3 linked regions of the Drosophila melanogaster genome follow. The protein of the gene in region 2 interacts with the protein of the main gene of each other region in a pairwise test. Each region holds a gene or a part of one and is shown on either strand. Other genes may lie near its edges.

Region 1 (5,381 bases), on a different chromosome or scaffold from region 2:
AATCATCGAAGATCTGATTCACTACTTGCAAAATATTATCGATCAGGGGTAGCATAGAGTCAAAGTAATTAGATATTCTTTTAACCCGATTCATTATTGTTAATGATAGTGTTGCAATTTGAAGTTGGTTTTCTAGGGGAAGTCAATCAGCGTACCGCGATTGTTTGCGCTGTTGTACGATCTTATTACTGATACATTCTATTAATGGGTCTTATCGGTTTAGGGATGTTATAATTTCCAGCGCCTGACATTAACCATTCAACGATTCTTATCGATAGCTCTACGCAAAAACATACTAGCTCCACTAACTAAACATAATAATAATATATCACAGAACCGAAGTAATAATTAAAATGTGTGGGAGCTTTGTGTTTTTTAAGGTTAAGATTTAGAATTTGTAACTGATTAATTCGCTTCTGTTTTATTTTAAAAATTATTATCCCAGAGTTATATAGTAATATGATTCGCATTCGTCGTTCTCAATCCAAAGTTCTGTTGCTAAAGGAAAATATATACTTTATTTATTGAAATGCTCACATATGGCAATAGAAACTTAATAGGTTACAAATTTATATAAAATAAATTTCAATTGTTCGATGCGTAAACACTTCAACTCAACCAGCCCCCAACTACATTTTCAAAAAGAACAAGTTTCGCTTCTTTTTAACCTTTTCCAAAGCTGGTGCCTGTTCGGACTCATCGACGTCCTTGTCGAGGTCCGACTTTTTGCCCTTGCCCAGCTTATTTTCCTCCTTAAGTTTTTTTCGTTCCTTTTTAGACAGCTTTTTGGATGATTTGTCAGCGCTTCTCGGATGTGCTGGTGGTTCCTCGCGCTCAGAATTGTATATATGAAGCCGATTCTTGATGCTCATATCCTCTCGCGCCTCGCGAACTCGGTCAGTCTCTAGGCTATCAATTACTTCGTTACGCATTTCAACCACCTTCACAAGGCGATTGATTAATACTTCCTCATGGGCTTTATCCGAATCGGTTTTGTTGTGCTCCGGTTGCCCCATTAATACTCGTATCTCATGCTCTATGTCCGCCTGCTCCTGCTCCAGGCGATGCTGACGTCGAAGGTACATCAGTTCCGCTTGTCTGCGGAACAATTCGTTTTTCTCGTTGACCAGCTCGAACAGTTGCAATATAAGATCTTCCACTTCCTTTGAGTTGGTTAGCACTTCTGCGGATTCGGGACCATCAGTATCGGTGGCATCTAAGGAACGCTCACAGCGATCCCTGATCATTTTCTCCAGAATAACGCCTTGTTTCTCAAGACCCAGCTGCTGTACCGCAATAATTTCGAACTCGTGGCGAATTTCTTGCAGCGGAAGCCTTTGTAAGACTTTGCGCGGTGGTATTGGAACCGCTGGTGCTGGTCCCTTTCGCCTCTTCCATTTCCCATGAGTGGATTTATTGTGCCCCAATGGGCTTACGTTTCTATCGAAGTCGTTATACACGATAGGCGATTTTTGATCCTCCTTGCTACGTTCAACAGTGTTTTCGGGTTGAGTTGGCGGCACCAAAATGCGTCGGTATACCACATTTACCTCCTCGTCGGCATTGGATGTACTTAAGCTCTCGTCGTAATTACTCGACTCGGTTGCCTCATCGGATAGCAGACTCTGGTCAAGTGGTATTAGTCTTCTGGTTGAATCACCCAGATTTGGGGCCTTAAGCTGAGTGTGCAACAATGCCTTTTGTTCGTCGGACAATTTTGAAAATCCAGGATCACTGTCAAAGTCCGTTTGTATTGGGGGCAAAGGTGCCTGGCGCTTCTTCCGCATCGGAGAGGTAATAGAGCTAAGACTGGTAGTGGGACTCGATTCTTCGCTTCGCAGCGGACTCCCCACTGAGGCGCGAAGTGGCTTGCGAGGCCCATTTGCAGATGGCAAGGAGATGCTTGAGCCACGGTCATCTGCTCCGCGATCGAACGTTCTTATGCTATTCAAATGCTCCGAAGACGAAGAGGAAATACTACTTTTCTGGCCTTGATGCGTCATTGGTTTTGCTGGAGTCTGGGTTTTTGATATAGATATTCTCGGTGTTGGCATCGGCATTTTTTTCCCATGCGAAAGTGTAGGGCTGGAATGTGGTTTCTCTGACGGATTGGAGATGGATGAAAGGCCAATTTTAGGTGGCGGTGGACGGGGCGGTACAACTTTTCCTTTGCTTTGTTGGGCTGGAATGGCTTTAAGAAGCTCCACTTCATCATCAGAGCTGTCGAATGGGTTGGCACCTTTAGATGAGTCATCATCTTTAAAGGGATTTAGATCCTCTGGATAGTCAGTTTCAGATGCTTTTGTCTCAATTACCTTGTCCTTGGGAGACTCGAGATCCATTTGTTTTGGGAGAACACCTTCCTGCTTAGAGCAGCTTTCTGTGTTTGAGAAAATTTTATTTTCTTTACGCGGGCTTATATGGTCTTCTGGTTTAATGGCTACTTGAGTGTTATTTTCAGGAATCGGTGCTTCCTGTGATTCTGGAATGAGTGCGTCTGATGTATTGTTCAAAGCTTCTTGTTTATCTAAATTATCCGGATGTATTGCATCTACAACAAGGCGGTCATCTTCAAGATATATTGAGACCGAAGAAATCTTAAGTTTCTCTTTTGGAATGTCATTTTCCGGACTAACCGCCAGATCATTGTTTTGTTCAACGCCAGCATGTTGTTCATCGTCTAGTGGAAGAGTAGAGACTTTTGGTTTCTCTGGTATAGCGGGCTTTACAGGAGTTGTTGATTTATTATATTGTTCAATAAGGCCACCATCTTCTTCGTCTAGTGGAATAAAAGAGATTTTACGCTCCTCTGATAATATAGGGTTTACCGGATTAATAGTTAGTTCATTATTTTGTTCATCTTTGTTGGACGGCGGTTGGAAGTTTTCAGGCTTATCAGTAGTACGTATATCATTATCTTCCAGGTCTTCTTGTTTATCTTCAGCTTCAGAGTAATCAGAACTTTGTGCCACCATTTGTTTATCATTCGGAGAATCAGTAGTGGTTGTCTTTAACTTTAAAATGTCAGATTCCGGTTCACTTTCTTCATCGGGACAAGTCTCGCAACAGTATATGTTATTGACCTCCGTTTCATAAAAACTCCCGGGTGTGAGCAATGACGAACATCTTGCACATTTTAAGCATGTGCGATGATAAGCCCGTTTGCCGACAAGGACCCTTTCGGCGAGAAAAACAGGAAGGTTGCATTTCTGGCACTTATCACGTCGAGGCATCCCAACAATGTGCATCACCTTTTGCGGTGGCTCACTCTCTTCGCCAAGTGGCTCCTCTGGCTTCGGGTGCTTCAGGCTCTTGCCGAGCACCTTGTAAAACTGGGATAAATACGTTAGTATGGAGAGTCTATCAGGTACTTCATACGAAACCATGTCAGCTGCATCGAGCAGTGCGGGAATTCCCAAATATTTCTCGGCCGTTGTAAAGGCCAAATCGTTGTTCTCATAGATATCGTCTGCTTTAAGTCGGTCGAAATCTATAAGATCCGGCCGAAAGTGGTGTATTATGGCGCAGAAGGCAAGTCCATTTCGCCAGGAAGTGGTCATGTTCTCCACCTTGACCCCATTATATCCTTGGGTCACAACTCGGCACCAATACTCCAAAGCCTTCGTACCAGTTCCAACTTTTGTGCCACGACGATCAGACATTTTAGTGGGTTAATTGCTGGCTTATTGGCGAATATAACTAAACGAAAATAGCAGTCACAAACTGTAAACTAAGTGAACAACAAAAGCACATCGTGCCACTTGACTTGAGTAAAATCAAATAAGATTTATCTGGTACAAATTACATTAAATGTAAACAAGGCAAAACGGTGACTCAAATAAATCTCCCAATCAGATTTAGTGGTGGGAGTGTCAGCAGCTATCGATAGTTGTTTCGTGCTATTTTCCCTTCTTAAAAACAAGATGTTTAGAAAATTCTGAAATTTTTTAATTTTTCTCAGGAATGCCACACTTTTCAATTATTTTGTTGCTTGTCTTTATTGTCTTGCACTTTGCAACAGGGTGTAGTGTGAACAATCCGCTGCCAGAGTCAATCGATTTAAATCGCTAGTATCAATAGCAACTCCTTGGTTTGAACATACCTAATTTCGAGGAAGTAAACAAACAATTCTGTTTTATGTTTATTTTATATTATATTATATTTTAATATTAGTAAATTTGAAAAAATTAAAACACCAGTAAAGCCCAGAAGATTTCTGGGCTTCTGATTTAATTTCTTAAAAAACGATTATTTAGCTCAACAAAGATGAGAACAGAAAATTGCACAACATGTTTATTATAAATTAATGGAAATTAAATTAATATGTTTAAATTGCATATAAAAGGAGTAATTCCTGAAATTGGTATACAAGTTATTATGGAAGTCCACCCACCAGACTCATTTTCATCTTCATGTTTTATAGGAAATCAACTCGGCAATTACTTGGCGAAAAGTTTATTACCATTTTAAAAGTTATACACAACTATTAATTTTTGCATTGACTTCTCTCAGTGTATTCGAACAGAAAAAATTATTTCTCAATGTTATATCCGTGAAATAGCCTGGTCACACCGACGATAAGCAGTCCCGCATCTAGCGAGAATAGTTACGCCGGCACGTGTAGTTGAGTAAAAAGTTCACTCATTAACTTTTATCAACCGCTCCAGTTTGCATTTAAGAATTAAAATGGTAAGTTAAAAGTGCATTGCCCCATATGAGGTTTAGAAGACAGTTTGAAATCGAAGGATGATATCGGTTTTTCGAGAAGGTTCCACGGCTTTCGGTCCACATCCCATTCGCCGGGCTGTTGTGTAATCAATGAGAGAAACATGAAACATTGAAACATGGGTTAATTGTTGGGTCTTTTTTAATGATCCTCAGGCCGCCGCTATCAAGAAGATCATCCCCATGCTGGACCGCATCCTAATCCAGCGTGCCGAGGCGCTGACCAAGACGAAAGGAGGCATTGTTTTGCCGGAGAAAGCGGTGGGCAAAGTACTTGAGGGCACCGTTCTGGCCGTAGGCCCTGGCACCCGTAATGCCGTGAGTATTTCGCCATTATCAATGCAGAGATGGTCATCTAATCACTGAACATCCCACTTCATCCGCAGTCCACTGGCAACCACATTCCCATTGGCGTGAAGGAGGGCGATCGTGTTCTGCTGCCCGAATTCGGTGGCACCAAGGTGAACCTAGAGGGTGACCAGAAGGAGCTGTTCCTCTTCCGCGAGTCCGACATCCTGGCCAAATTGGAGTAGATCTCGCCTCCGGACACTGTCTCACAATTCTATGAATTCTATGCTTTTTATTAGTATGTAACACACCCACAAACCCGAAACTAAAAACTACAATAAAAGCTCATGCAATATTTTTGTTTGCAT
Region 2 (10,249 bases):
AAAGAACACCCAAAACAATACACAGAAAATCACAAGAAAGAGTGAAAGATCGGTGAAAGGAGGTAAACTGTGGAAGCCCAGATTTCCAAGGGATAACTAGGATATAACACCATAATAGTTAATTGCTCTAGACCTCACAACTGATCTCGATTCGGAGCACCTCAGGCTAATACTTATGCATAACGATAACGATAATTAAAAAACAAAAAAAAAACGATAACAAACAAAAAGGAAGAGAGAGTGATAAAAACAAAAACTTAACGACTTAAATGCACTAACAACAGGCATCGAACGGTTAGCCGTTGACTAACGGTAGCAATCCGTCCGTTTTAGGCCCTCTCAATGCTTCGCTTCGCAGCTATCGATGCTTATCGATTATATAGTCTCGGTAATCGAGCCATAATCGAAAATATCGTTTGTGCGATAAGCGATAACTATTTCGTTGCCCATTTAAGACACCCAAAGATGAAAACCAAAACCAAACCAATGCTTTATATGTTATTGAAGTTAGAGAGTAGGGAAGGAAAGAACGATTTGAACGATCCGCCGGATCTAATAAATCTGAAGGTAGACAAAACGGGAGAGGTGGAGAAAGAGGCCATCGGGCTAGTCCAAGCGAAGCATGTTATACCAAACACCGTACGTAACAATAAGTGATTGAAAATCATCCTTAGACATACACACATACTGCATAAATCGATATATACATCTTGCATATACATTTAAAAGAAAGAAAACTAAACAAAACAAAAAAAAAATGGTAAAAAAAAAACTAGTTTTATATGAAGTTAAGCGAACGAAGGCCGTGGCATATTATATAACGTGTATACAGAATAGCGAAAACGAGAAGAGAACGATACTACCCCAGGACACTATATACAAACGCTCTACTATATGCCTGTCAAGAACTACTCACAACCCATTATTACAGCATACATATACCCATGCCATATTACCCAAAAATTACATTAATGCATACGTACATACTCGTACTATTCGTACATACATACATGCTATCTATCCCCTAATCATACATTATATAGCATCCCCAAAACCCTATATTTCTTCACTTATCACTCGGAACTTTCAAGCCGTTGATCTTAAAGCCTAGCCTAACCGAAAACTACAACTACTAAAACTACTACTTGAGATCTTTAAGTGCAGCAGCGAATCCAAAACTAAACTAAACATTACTAACCTAGCGATCTAACTAACTCGTTTATATTGATAAGCATGAAATTGAGCTTTTTAATTGTGCAGAACCCAAATTAGAACACAAGGAAATACAGCTACAACTACACCGACACCGACACCTAAAACACAGTTGGATTTGGAGAAAGCAGCGTAGGATTTGAGGAATGAGTTATGTATGTTCTATAACCCAGCATGTCAGTATGTCCAACCTCCTTCTATAATTTCCCACGGAGCTATTTTGAAGCAATCCCGACTTTCAAGCGACAGCAGCAGGAAATTGATACATAAATGCAGAAATCAACTCGAATTTTAAGGAATTGAACTAATTAGAATTCGATTCGATTCTTTTGCATTTGAAAGTTTGTCCTTGCTGACTTCTTATATTCTGTTTGGTGAGTGGAGAAAGTAACAAGAACAAGCGTGAATAAACATCAAAATAATTGAAAACTTTTGAAAAAAGCATTTTTACTTGACATGTGCGAGCGTGTATTAAACTTGATTCGTTTATCCAAAACAGGTAAGACGTTCTCAATTTTAAAATGTAAGCTTTTATTTCAGCTTTTCAATGCGGAGATTCAGCTTATTTGTTTCAGGCATATTAACAGATTGATTTGTTTCTTTATTAGAATACGTTTCATTTGTTCACTTTAATTTGCCAGAATTTGCGCTGTTTATTGTATGAATATAATATATAATATATAGATTCGATATTCGTTTGTCTTTGCTACGTTTTGAAGAAGGCCGCATAGAGCACGAAGGCAACAGATTTACAACATCAAACACTTTACAAATACGTTTCGATTACTCATACACACATTACACACACGCCTAGCTAAGTAGGATGGATTGGAGGATAGGATTTGTTTGGATCGGCAACGATTCGAGTTCAATCAATTGTAACATCTCATTTCATCTGGAATTGTTTGTGGTTGCAGTTTGTATATAGGAATATTAAAAGCGTTAGGATCATGTTTCATTTATATTTGGGCGGGGCGGTTGGTAATCCTTGAATAATTTTCGATTTGGATATGAAAGCTACACTAATCTCATGTTGTGTTCATCCATTCATAAAAGGAAATGGTGACTCTTTTATGCAAAATATCTCAGTATAAGCGGATACAAATATATAGGAAGTTGTGTGTTTCCCATTTCAATAAGTTTCATTAAGAATTTGCGAATGTGTATAACAATAAATATAGTTTTGTAGCATTTACACAATAGTTTGCATCACTTTTCATTCAGTTTTCAACAAGTTAAAGAATATGTAATAATTACAGTTGAAATTGCAATTTAAATTAGTTTTGGATTTCGATCCCACTTGAACACTTAAGTTGCATCTGTTACACTGCACATTTACATATAATCTCTCGAAAATGGAATTTAAAACACCTGTAATCTCAGCTAATGTTATCAGCTAATTTCAAAGATTACGTTCTCCCCGCCCGTTTACAAGTGTATAGCTAAATATGAATGCTATGTTTACGTAGTGAGGCGGCTTTGCCTTATTCTCAGTTGAGTAGCCCTGCTCCAGGGGATTCCACTCCTCAAGTTAGTTCGCTGCTCGCTTTCGTCTTGTTCGCTTTCGTGTCCATCGCTCACATGGCGAAACTGAGCTGCAGAGCATTGCGCAGCTCGTTGAGCACCATGGATCCAATGACCATTTTCTCGCAGTTTACCAGCAGCGTGAGGGCATCCTCTGTTTTCCAATCGAGGGTGAGTAGCACGAGGCTTTTGGAGCTCAGGGTTTGGCCGGCGAAACAGTGTAGCTGACCGCTGGAAGAGCTGTGCGTATGCGCCACGTTGATGGACTCGAAAACCTTTTGCCGCAATGCGACCACATCGATTAGGTCCTGCCTCAGGCCACGCAACTCGCACTGATGCTCATTCATTCCACGCAGCTTGGCCCGCTCCTCGCGATGACAGCTCTCGCCGATCTGGACGGATCTCACCAGCTCGCCCACCGGCGGTTTCAATTGCAGTCGTGAACTGCCCGCACTTGACAGAAGCTCCAGGTCTACAGCATGCGTCGAATCATTGAAATCGACGCCCAGCACACCACTCGCTGTTTGTTGGGGCTGGAGAACAGTGATTGGCGCAAACTCATTCAATTGCATGCCCGCCGGCAGAGTTGTTTGCCCGAGACGAATGGCCGTAATCTCTTTTTCGCCACGATTCTGGAACTGCAGCTCAATGGAGCACATGCTCGAGGAGTACAGATGCGGGGAGCGGGTGAAACGGTAGGCCAAATGCAGTCCATGGCCACTGACCTTGTTAAGCAGCTCCTTGTGCTTGAACTCGATGTGCGAGGGACCCACCAATTCCACCCGATTGCGGGCGTGCTGCGGCTGCAGTGGCGCCGCCTGTCCAGCCATCATTGGTGTGCCTATTGAAGAATTATTATATAAAGAGGCCAATTTAGAGATGCGCATCACCTTACCAGGCGTCAGGAATCCTCCCAACGAGGGCGTCATCACGGGACCAATGGGCGGAATGTCATCCAGATCGAGTAGCAGGTCCAGATTGCTCTTGACAGCCGTTTGCTCCGGCTGTTTCTCGTGCTTCTCTTTCAACTTCTCCGGCTTTGTGCCTGTGTCCGTTTTCGTTTCGTTCTTTTTCACTTCATTATCGCTACCGGAAGCGCTGTCATCACTACTACTGCCACTGTACGCTGATGAATCCTCGCTGTCCGATGTTCCTGACGAACCTCTCGCATTGTTATTGTTGTTTATAGTTGCTTTTACAGGCGAAGAAGTAGCGGCCAGCTCATTGCTTCCAGCATCGATAAGCCGCTCCTTCACCGAGGAAACCTTGGTCGGCTGCTGCTTTTGCACCTCCTCCTCCTCCTCATCGCTGCTCCCGCTGCCATCGCTATCGGATTCACTGTCGCTGGTGCCACTGCCACTGCTGCTGCCTGATTCCGAGTAAGCGGAAGACTTGTCGTCCGACTCAGAGAGGAAGCCCTTCTCGCCACCAGCACCCTTTTCCTTACCGCCTTCACGGCCGGATTTATCCTTTGAATGTCCGGATGGCGAGTCTTCACCCGGCAGCTTGTCCTGCATAAATCCAGCTATATTGCGTACCGATGAATCCGGTGGAATCACCGGAAAGGCGGGCAGTTCCTTGTAGCCAGCCGCTGGCATGTTCAGGTAGTGAGACAACGATCCTAACTGGAAGTTATTGCCATCCCGGTATTTACTCTCCGGCACCGGAGCCGGTTTGCTGGCGAGAAATACTTGGCGGGCATGCTGGCTGAGCACCGAGCTCGTTCCGCTCGCCGGAAAGATGATTTGCCGCAGAAAACGGGCACGATCGCGTACATCGTAGTTGGGATCATAGCGAGCCAGCGTAAAGACGTACTGACACAGCAACGATGTCTGCTCCGGATTGGTCAGATAGAGCTTAACGCCTAAGTTTAGGACCTGCAGCTTCACCACATCCTGCTCATCGACAAACGATTTGGCCATTTTGCGCAGCACATCCGGGGCAATCAGCGGCACCTTCTCGTTGTATTCGCCTATAAGCCAAATGATGGCTGCCCTAGCTGCGGGCACATTGATATAATCGATCAGTTTGGCCATTTGGGTGATAATCTCAAAGTGCTCGGCGGCTTTCGTTTGCAGAAGACGCTTAATCACCACCACGCTCTCGGCCACCACGTGTTCTAAATGGAATAACGGAATACTTATAAAATTAAAATACAAATGGCTAAAAGAAAGCTTAACGCACCGTCATGATTGGACAGCAGATGAACCAGGCCACTCAAGCAGGTCTCGGTAACCTCCTTAATGCTAGATGCACATCGTCCAATGGCCTGAATCGTGGCCGCCACAAACGAACGATCGCTGCTGGAGATGTAGGTTTGAAATTCGCGCAGAATGAGCGAAATACTGCCCGCCGAGGCCAGATTGGTGAGAATATCCAGCTTGAGAAGCTTTATGTGCGTGGGATCGCTGGTGCGCACAAAGAACGACTTGAGGTGCGGCTCAAAGATCGCCTTTCGTTTGGTGGACATCGAGGCAATGCAATTGAGGACCACGCTCTGAACCTCCTTATGCGATCGCAGCAGTCGTATCAGCGCCTTGGCAATCAATTGCACTTCGTTCTTGGGAGCCACATGATGATAGAGCTGCGCCACTGCCATCACCACGGAGGCATTTCGCGATTGGAGCAATGGTTTCGTTTGCCTCAACAGCAGGCGGTGATCCACATCGATGTGGTAGCTGTTGCTCGGAGAACTGGGTGTTCTACTGCCATTTCCTCCGCCATTGTTTTTATTGTTCGTACTCGACTTGTTTTTTTCGTCATCGCTACTGCCATCATCGCTGTGGGAAGAGGAGTGCGAGGATTCGTCGTAGAAGCGTTCACTAACGGGCGTTTCGCCCAGGCCATCGTTGACCAGATCCTCATCATCCGCATTGGGATCAACGAACTGAGTGCGCGCATAGCGGGTCAACATATTAATGATGATCACCTGACCCCATTCGTCCACATCCAGCAGGAAATTGCACAGCTTGCGGTAGTTCTTGTGTATCAAATCTACACGTTCCGGACAAACCTACGAATAAAGATCCGTCGTATATAGAGGATAAATGTTTTACTTTAGCTGCAGACCCACCTCGTCGAAGGCCATCACCGCTGATCCCACCACTAGAGTAGTGCGATCCGATAAAAGCTTCTCAATGACCATGACCAGTTCATCCTTTTGATCCGCGTCCAGAGAATACAACTTGGGGATGGCATGTGCCGCTGTTTTCCGCACATATGGACTCAAATCGGCGGCGCTATCCCGAATGGCCAGCATTACGATTGGCACAATCATGCTGACCCTTATGGAGGATAACACTCGCAGAGCCGAGGCGCGAATAAGTTGATTGGGATCCTTGAGCGCCCTCTGAAATGTGGAAATGGATAGCAGGGCCAAGTCCTGCTGCTCCTCGGCGTATCGCACCAAATAGACGTAGACCAACTTCTTGACCTCGATATTCTTGGACACCACATTCTTGACGACTGCCGGGAACAGATCACTGGCATCCCGTCCGCGGGCAATCATGCCAATGATGCGCTTCATGGCCTCCAGCTTTAGTCCATCCTTGTTGCTGTCCAACATTTGCTTGAGATCATCATGCTTGCGTCCATCGGATTGGAAGAAAGCTGCTCCGCTGGCAGGATCCGCTCCGAATTCGACGTCCAGTCCCATTTGGGGCCGCTCCACATATGTGGACATGGCGAAGGGATTGCTGGCCGAGTTCTGCTGCATTCTTGCAAAGATTCCCCCGGATTACCCAGATTTCGGTTGACCACTTGACCTTTTACTTTCCGTGCTGATGATTTTTTTTTTCCTTTTTTTTTGTGTGTGGGAGTTGGCAGTTTTCCCTTTCGGTTTTTGCAAATGCGTCCAATGTGAAACCTTTGTTCCTGATGTTGAATCCTCAAGACGATCTGGTGGTCAGCTGCTCGTCCTGCCACGCAGCTTGCAAGTTTTGCAAGGGATACTATTATTTATGCCGAAATTCTGGCCAATTTTTGCATTTTTTTTTTTAGCTTTCTGTTTCCTAATGGTGGGCAACTGTCGATAGTCGCCGATTAACACATAGCACAAAAATACTAGAACACTTTAACTAACTGTGATGGAATGCACCAAGAGTTTTTCATATAGGTACGCACATAAATAAAGTAATGTATTAGTTACGATATCCAATACTTTAACCGAAACATTTCGCGGCATTCATGTTGCTTTTGAATTTTTATGAGTTGTGAGTTTTTTGTAGTGATCCGTTAAAAATTCGGTATCGCGTGTCGCGTGCACCTATCGATGCCGAATCTATCGGAAACTGCTGTTCTTCGATATGCCCTATTTGTCTACATCTATCGGAGTATATCGAATCGACTACAACTACGTGGCTGCAGTGCGTTTAATAGCGATTAAAACCAGGCCAAAAGTACTAAGACAAACGATGGAATCGACACTCGCCAAGGTGCTGCTCCTTGTGGGCAGCCTGCTGATCCTGTGCCGCACCAGCCACGCCTTCATCGTCAGCGTGGACGCCCACAATGAGGAGTGCTTCTTCGAGAACGTCGAAGGCGGCACCAAGTTTGGTACGTGAGCGATATGGATTTTCGGTCAATTGACAAGGGATCTATGCTGATAAAATGATGGTGACTTTACAGGCGTCACCTTCGAGGTGATCGACGGTGGCTTCCTAGACGTGGACATCAAGATCAGCGGCCCGGATAACCATGTGATGCACGAGAGCGAAAAGGAGTCGTCCGGCAAGTACACCTTTGTGGCCCCCGCCAAGGGAACCTACACCGTGTGCTTCAACAACGAACGCAGCAGCATGACCCCCAAGCTGGTCATGTTCTCCATCGACGTGGGTGACGCACCGCAACGTGCGCCCGGAGCACCCGGCGAGGAGGAGGTGGGCCACACCAAGCTGGAGGACATGATTCGGGAGCTCTCCGGCACGCTGACCAGTGTCAAGCACGAACAGGAGTACATGCATGTGAGTGAAGAGACGAGGTGAAGATGGAGCATCCAGCTGCCACATAATCATGATTGGGGGTTTTGGAAGAGTTTAACATGTAGCAGAATTAGGGGTACATGGAATATGGGAGCAATCGAGTAACTATTGCCACATAGTCTGGCATGCCTCCAGCATTACTTGTACAGATCCACGTCGCAAGATTTAAGAGCGGAGTCGGTAGACTTGTTCGAGGGAATGGAGCTGCTAGCTGCCACATAAACAATAACTAGTAGCGATTTTCAAACACTCATGTTTTCACCATCGGTTATAATCAGTATTGACATTATTTGTGAAGTAATCCACGACTAATCCTCCAATTTCTTTACTCCCTCAGGTGCGCGACAAGATCCATCGTTCGGTGAACGAGAACACCAACTCGCGAGTGGTGCTGTGGTCCACCTTCGAAGCCCTCGTCCTGGTCCTGATGACAGTGGGCCAGGTGTACTACCTGAAACGCTTCTTCGAGGTCAAGCGCGTCGTGTAATCCCGAGCGGAAAACCAGGATGGAAGTAGCAAAGGAAGGCGGCACACGAAGCTCTGGGGGAAATGTGTGCGCAATGCGTTGCAGTCTCAGATTTAATTTAAATGATTAACATCCTTTTGTAATTTAAATAAAATACCTTGTAAAAAGTAATTAGTGCTTGAAAGTATGTCGATCATGTTTCTGTTTCGAGAATTATTAACAGAGATTGCTATATTAGAGAAATTAATATATATATTTTTTTTTAATTACCAAATATCTCTTAATGGAAACAGAACAGCAAATATTTTCAGACACACATTCAAGGGGGGAAGAGACACTTGTGAACTTTCGAACTAAATTGATAAGAACCATTTGTTTTCTAATAAATGTAGGTTGACAAGAGAAAAGTTTGTTTGCAACTTCGAAATGGAAATGGATTCTATAATAATTTCGAAATATCTGAATGGAAATAAAACAACTTTTCAGAAGCTATATTAAATTCGTTTCAAATCTTTTTGAGTGTTGGGTAGTTAATGTGACAGTGGAAATAAGTTATTAAATCTGACGTCGGTGTGCAGCACTGGATCGTCCAGTGACAGTTGACATATATTCCTATCAGCGGCGAACTTTTTTGTCCGGACTCCTAAAAGTGACTCCAAAAAGTGCGATGAGATCTTTTCTTTATATGCTCTCCCAACGTCCCAAATTGGCATGTTTGTGCGGAAAATCTATTATCATATGGCCTGGTAAACGTACAAATCTGCCGGAAAATGCTTTCACTCAGCGGATGCTTCAAGAATGTGGCCAAATGGCAAAGCCGGACGCTTCGGTGGATCTCGATAATTTCAAAGCTATTTCGGAGCAGTCTCCCGCCGAGGTATACTCATTGGAATTGGTTTCGCAAAATTGTCTTCTGACATTGATATAATCCCCCCACATTAGTTTGGCATCGATTCCTGCCGAGTGAAGGCACAGCCGGAAGATCGAAGTGACCGCATACGGGAACAAATCGCATCCGCCTATCCGGTGATTCACGAACGGACCCTCCTACTCTTTATCAGCTTCTTAGAGCACAAGCTCACGTTCGGTGGGTACAATCACAATCGAAAGAATTTATATTTTCTGGTCATCGTTTTACAGGCAGCGAGCAGGAGAAGGCCATCTACAAGGACATGACTGTGGTTGACCTTGTGCAGCGCCTGCTGGCGAAGAGATGTGTGTGGTTCTTTGGCGCTAACGACTATTACCGTACAATGCAGGGAAATATTGGTAACGAGGGCTTCGAGGCAGTGGGTACGCCCGCCGAAAAGGAACCCCTCACTTTGACCTCGGTGCTCAGCTACGACGAGATCAAGCTGTCCGCCCTGCTCTACGTGTCCTGCCACTCGGAGTTCATTAACAATGGCAGTAGGGTCAATGGGGGTGAGGTGCTGCAGAATAAGGACACTATCGAACGGGAGGGCGTTGTGATTGGACTAATTGGAGCTCGTTTCGAGCGTCCCGATGTGATGGAGTACCAGGATATCATGATTACTAAAACCCAAAATACTGAGGCCAATGGCTACGGTTTCGATTTGGAACAGATATCCAGCGAGACGGTCACACCTGCATCAGATTTGCGCAGAATCTGGCGCGAGTTCTACGAGGAGCCCAGGGACTTCATTTACGCCGACACTCCGTATGATACTACGCGTTTCGAAGAGGTTTCTCAGGGCATCTTCGATCACCAGGTAATGCGCAAGCGATATGCCATCAGTTTCGACACCCTGCTCTTGGAGGCACAGGACAGAGCATTTAAGGCTGGTAAGCCCGCCTATATCCATGTGGTCGGCATCGGACTGGGCGTTTGGAAGGCAGCTAGACAGCAGGAGCGCACCTTCCTTGAATCTTTTGAGGGACGATTGCGGGCACTTGGAGAACGACTAAGCCACATCGGAGTGGTACACTTCTCATGGTTTCATTTGGCATGTGTGGGCAGCTTGCATGACGGAGCCATCATTCCCGTGGACAAACATCCCCAGGGTGGCATTCGCATTCGCAATTCGGTCCGAAATCCCGGAGACAAACT
Region 3 (3,848 bases), on a different chromosome or scaffold from region 2:
TGTTTTATATGCGTCATTCTAGCCTGGGCTTCTCGTGATGTTCTCGCTAACAAAACGGAAAATCCGCTGCTAATTGATCAAGTGGCTATAAATCAACAACAATGGTTCACATTCATTGCGCTGAAGGAAAGTGAAATGCAACAGAAAATAGTGAGGATCGAAAGATCGATAGAAGAACGATTGATGGCCATGCAAAGCAAGTTGGCATACGCACTGAACGAGCTGCAGACCATAATGGGCAACCAGAGTGTGGAGACTCTCGAGAAACTACGAATCTCGCACAGGATTAATCCGGCGCTTTTCCAGAGAATGGGCACAAGACGCTTCTACATTGAGAAGGAAAACAAACAAAATTGGTTTGGCGCCTCAAACACCTGTCGTCAATTGGGCGGTCACATTGCCACCATCAGGGATGAGCAGGAGTTTAATGAGATCTTCTCAAGAGCGCCGGCCGGCGTCTTTTGGATAGATATGAATGCTATGTTCAAGAACGGCCTTTTTGCATCATCACTCACCGGCAGATCGCCGCCGTTCTTTAAGTGGAAGAAAGAAGAAAGGGGCAATAAGTTCGATTGCGTTAATGTATACAACAAGGAAATGTACAATGAAAATTGTTTCAACACCCATTTGTTCATATGTCAAGCCGAGCAGTGGGATTGATGCGAATGCGAAAATAATAAATTAAGTTATTTTCATTTTGCATCTCGGCAATTTACCGACAGCTTTTAATAAAGTTATGAGCCTACTGTCTTTTTTATTTTACTAGCCCAAAAATGAAGTACATAACTGTTTTCTCAGCCAAGAGGATCATTAAGATTATTGGGTAATGAAAATTAAAATATTTTCCCTTAAGTACAAAACCAGGCCAATCCATATGGGGTTTCCATCAAGTGCCCAGAAAGCGGTGCTTGGTATTTCAAAATGCCTTACACACATGACGTGTCCACGTTCTGTGCAGAAATAAGGGCGGCCAGTGCCACGCCCCTCCACAAGGAAGCCACCCAAATGGTGACAAAAATGCTTTTGATTTGTGGGCCATTCGCACACCCATAGCCACCCACGCTTATTAGAATCCTGCCATTGTGGCAGCCAAAGTGCAACTAGCAGAGACAGATAGCAAACATCCAACAATGTGGAGCAGAGCGCAATTTATGACCAGGGGCGAGATTTCGAAACGGACTAATAGGATTGCGGCTCCAATTTTTGGGGCTTTTCATTTCAGATACCTCCGCACATACGATGCAAAATTATATCTCGAGTTTTCACTTACGTTATTATACGCTCTAGTGTGCAAGTCTTTAGTTTTTCCAATTATTACTATTCAATAATACTAATATACCAATATTGTATTTTGTTATAATAATAAGATGCTATTACCGTTACATTATTAACAAATGGGTAGTTGGAATTCCCCTTTCAAAAATAAAGATATAAAAAAAATCGATCTCTATGTTGTAGGGAACTAGTTCATTGAGATTAGTTGCAGAACTCATTGGAATTATTCAAAACTCATTATTCAAAATATAGATAAATAAATATAGAAGATATATACTTAAATGTGTTATTTTGGAGTGACTTCAGTTAAGTTCGAATTATTTAATTGAATTTACCGCGCATTAGTGTTACCATTTTACACTTACACCATCAAAATATTTCTAGTATTTTCAATCGGTCGTGAACTGGGCAATGAAAAGCCATCTGGCAACACTGTTCCATGACGCTTGAATTTTAGCGGACAAACTCGAAAAGAAATAGCAAAAAGACGACGCTTGCTACGAAAATAGTTATTCCTCGCAAAAACCCTGTAACGTGTAAACAAAGGCCGCTGCCACGATGCCGCGCACCAAGATACCAAAGAACTCCAAACGCAACCGCGAGGTGGCCAATCGCGAAGAGAAGGTGCGCCTGTACGAGCTGAAAATGGATTCCCGCCTTATCAGCATCGATTCGCTGGAGACCAAGTTCCTCTCCGCCGTGGACCACCAGGTGAAGACACTGCTCGGCCAGGTGCAGAAGGAGCTGGCCAATCTGAAGATGCCCGAAGTGCTGCGCCTCTTCGAGGAACTGGACCGCTTCAGCGACTTCAAGGCCAGCGATCAGACGCAGCTGCTCGCCTCGATGTCCATGAGTGGCAGCGCCATCGAGGGCCACGCCCCCTCCGCCACTGGAAGTCGCAATGACGAAGGTTTGTTGGCCTATATATGTATGCTGTTATACCAATCTGCTGGCAAGGATGTCATCACCCGAATTACAAATGAATACCGGTTTTACATGCCAAATTGGCAAATTCCATTGTATATTCGGTATTCATCATACCCTCTTGTTGCCATTTTCACTTTTAATTTTAATCTAACTGGTGTCCGGCTTTGTGACTAACTCAACTTTGCTTTCTAACTCCGCACCGCACATTTCAATGCACGCAAAATGCATATACCCACATCCACATCCTGTGCCGGTCACTGTATCTAGGCTACCTTACAGAGGACAGCAGCATCGGTGCCAGCGGTGGGAGCATCCTGGCCGCCCACACAGGCTCCCTGCTGCGGTCCACGAAGGCCATGCGCACACCCGGACCACTGCACTCGGCGAGGGCTCGTCGAGCGCGGCGCAGTCGTTCCGCCTGCGGGGATCTCAACATATTGCACTCGGCCAAACCGCCGTCAATTTCGAGCAGCAGCAGCAGCAGCCGCAATTCGCGCAGCAAACTGCGCACACCGATGGCCTCGCGTGCGAAGGCCTTCAGTGCCGACCGCACTCCTTTGAAACAGAAGCAAATGCGCTCCGGATCGCCAACTACACCGCCGATGGCATTCCTGCGCTATCCCAAGCCCGGCGAGGTGGCACTATCCAAATACGGCAGTCCCATGGTGGCTCAAGTGTAAGTATTGATCACATACTACGTGTCGATACCAATTTGTTAAAACCATTTTTCCCACACGATAGAATGCCAGACAAGTTCGCCAATGTGAACATACCCATTCGGAACGGAGTTCTTAGCTTGCGGCCCAAAAAACTGGATGCCGACGAGGTGGAGTCAAATCTGTTGGAGAACCTGGACGAGGACACCCTTAACCAGATCAAAACGCTGCACGAGAACTTGCAGATGATTGTTAATAAGGCCAGCCAGGCGGTGTTCAAGTAGCTGTCATTTCAAACGCTTATCTAGATATAATGCTATATCATATATTTTAATACGTTTCGTTTAAGTTCAGTTTTCATTTTACTCATTTAGTTCAAGTATTTTGTCTTTATTCATAAAAATCTATCGTATTTGCATAAGTTTCAATACATGTTCATATCCAAGTGTACGGCGATTTAAATGTAATGTTTTAAATACATGCTTAATCCAAAAAAAAAAAAATGAAGCGTTCCATGATGATTACTCGCCTTCAAGCAAAACGACGGAGAATCGAAAGAGATGAGAAAGTGAGAATCCAATTTAATTCTGCAATGGATAAAGTCGATGAGATGGCCAAGTTGTTCAAGCAGGATGTGGACAACAAATTGGGTTTGCTTCAAGCCAGGACTGATGCTCGTTTGCTGCAGATGAAATGGTCGGATTTCATGGCTCTAGCAAAAACTGCTACCTTCAAATAACATCTTTCTTTTGCTAATTGCAAAAGAGGCAACCGCTTTTAAGTTCCCAGATTTCAGAAAGTGGCCAATAAAATTATGTTATGTTAAAAATGTTTAAAATGTATTTTCGCACGTTGATATGAATACAGTTTTGAATCGCTTGTTCACCAAAGAGCCCTTTGACTTTGTTAGAATTAGGCGATTAGTTGACTGGAATATATAAATCGTTAGAAATATGCCTCGCACCAAGATTACAGCTCGTCGTCAGGCCC

What was found.
Region 1: the proteins of rb (region 2) and MICAL-like interact in a two-hybrid assay, tested with the Drosophila melanogaster proteins (one large-scale study listed by BioGRID).
Region 3: the proteins of rb (region 2) and borr interact in a two-hybrid assay, tested with the Drosophila melanogaster proteins (one large-scale study listed by BioGRID).

What each region holds. Positions count from the first base shown.
Region 1 is NT_037436.4:13,011,476-13,016,856, forward strand, and holds MICAL-like (MICAL-like), read right to left. Parts: upstream 3,858-5,381; 5' UTR 3,663-3,857; coding exon 630-3,662; 3' UTR 501-629; downstream 1-500. Other genes in the region: Cul6 (cullin 6), read right to left, coding at 1-94; CG11267 (uncharacterized protein), read left to right, coding at 4,687-4,689, 4,882-5,043, 5,112-5,258.
Region 2 is NC_004354.4:4,533,855-4,544,103, forward strand, and holds rb (ruby), read right to left. Parts: upstream 6,773-10,249; 5' UTR 6,452-6,772; coding exon 5,810-6,451; intron 5,750-5,809; coding exon 4,921-5,749; intron 4,856-4,920; coding exon 3,632-4,855; intron 3,578-3,631; coding exon 2,790-3,577; 3' UTR 1,781-2,789; downstream 1-1,780. Other genes in the region: CHOp24, read left to right, coding at 7,149-7,290, 7,363-7,697, 8,053-8,202; CG3568 (uncharacterized protein), read left to right, coding at 8,849-9,058, 9,124-9,268, 9,322-10,249.
Region 3 is NT_033779.5:9,250,972-9,254,819, reverse strand, and holds borr (borealin-related), read left to right. Parts: upstream 1-1,701; 5' UTR 1,702-1,833; coding exon 1,834-2,185; intron 2,186-2,469; coding exon 2,470-2,878; intron 2,879-2,943; coding exon 2,944-3,142; 3' UTR 3,143-3,348; downstream 3,349-3,848. Other genes in the region: lectin-30A, read left to right, coding at 1-660; aust (australin), read left to right, coding at 3,812-3,848. UniProt on the Drosophila melanogaster protein: Component of the chromosomal passenger complex (CPC), a complex that acts as a key regulator of embryonic mitosis.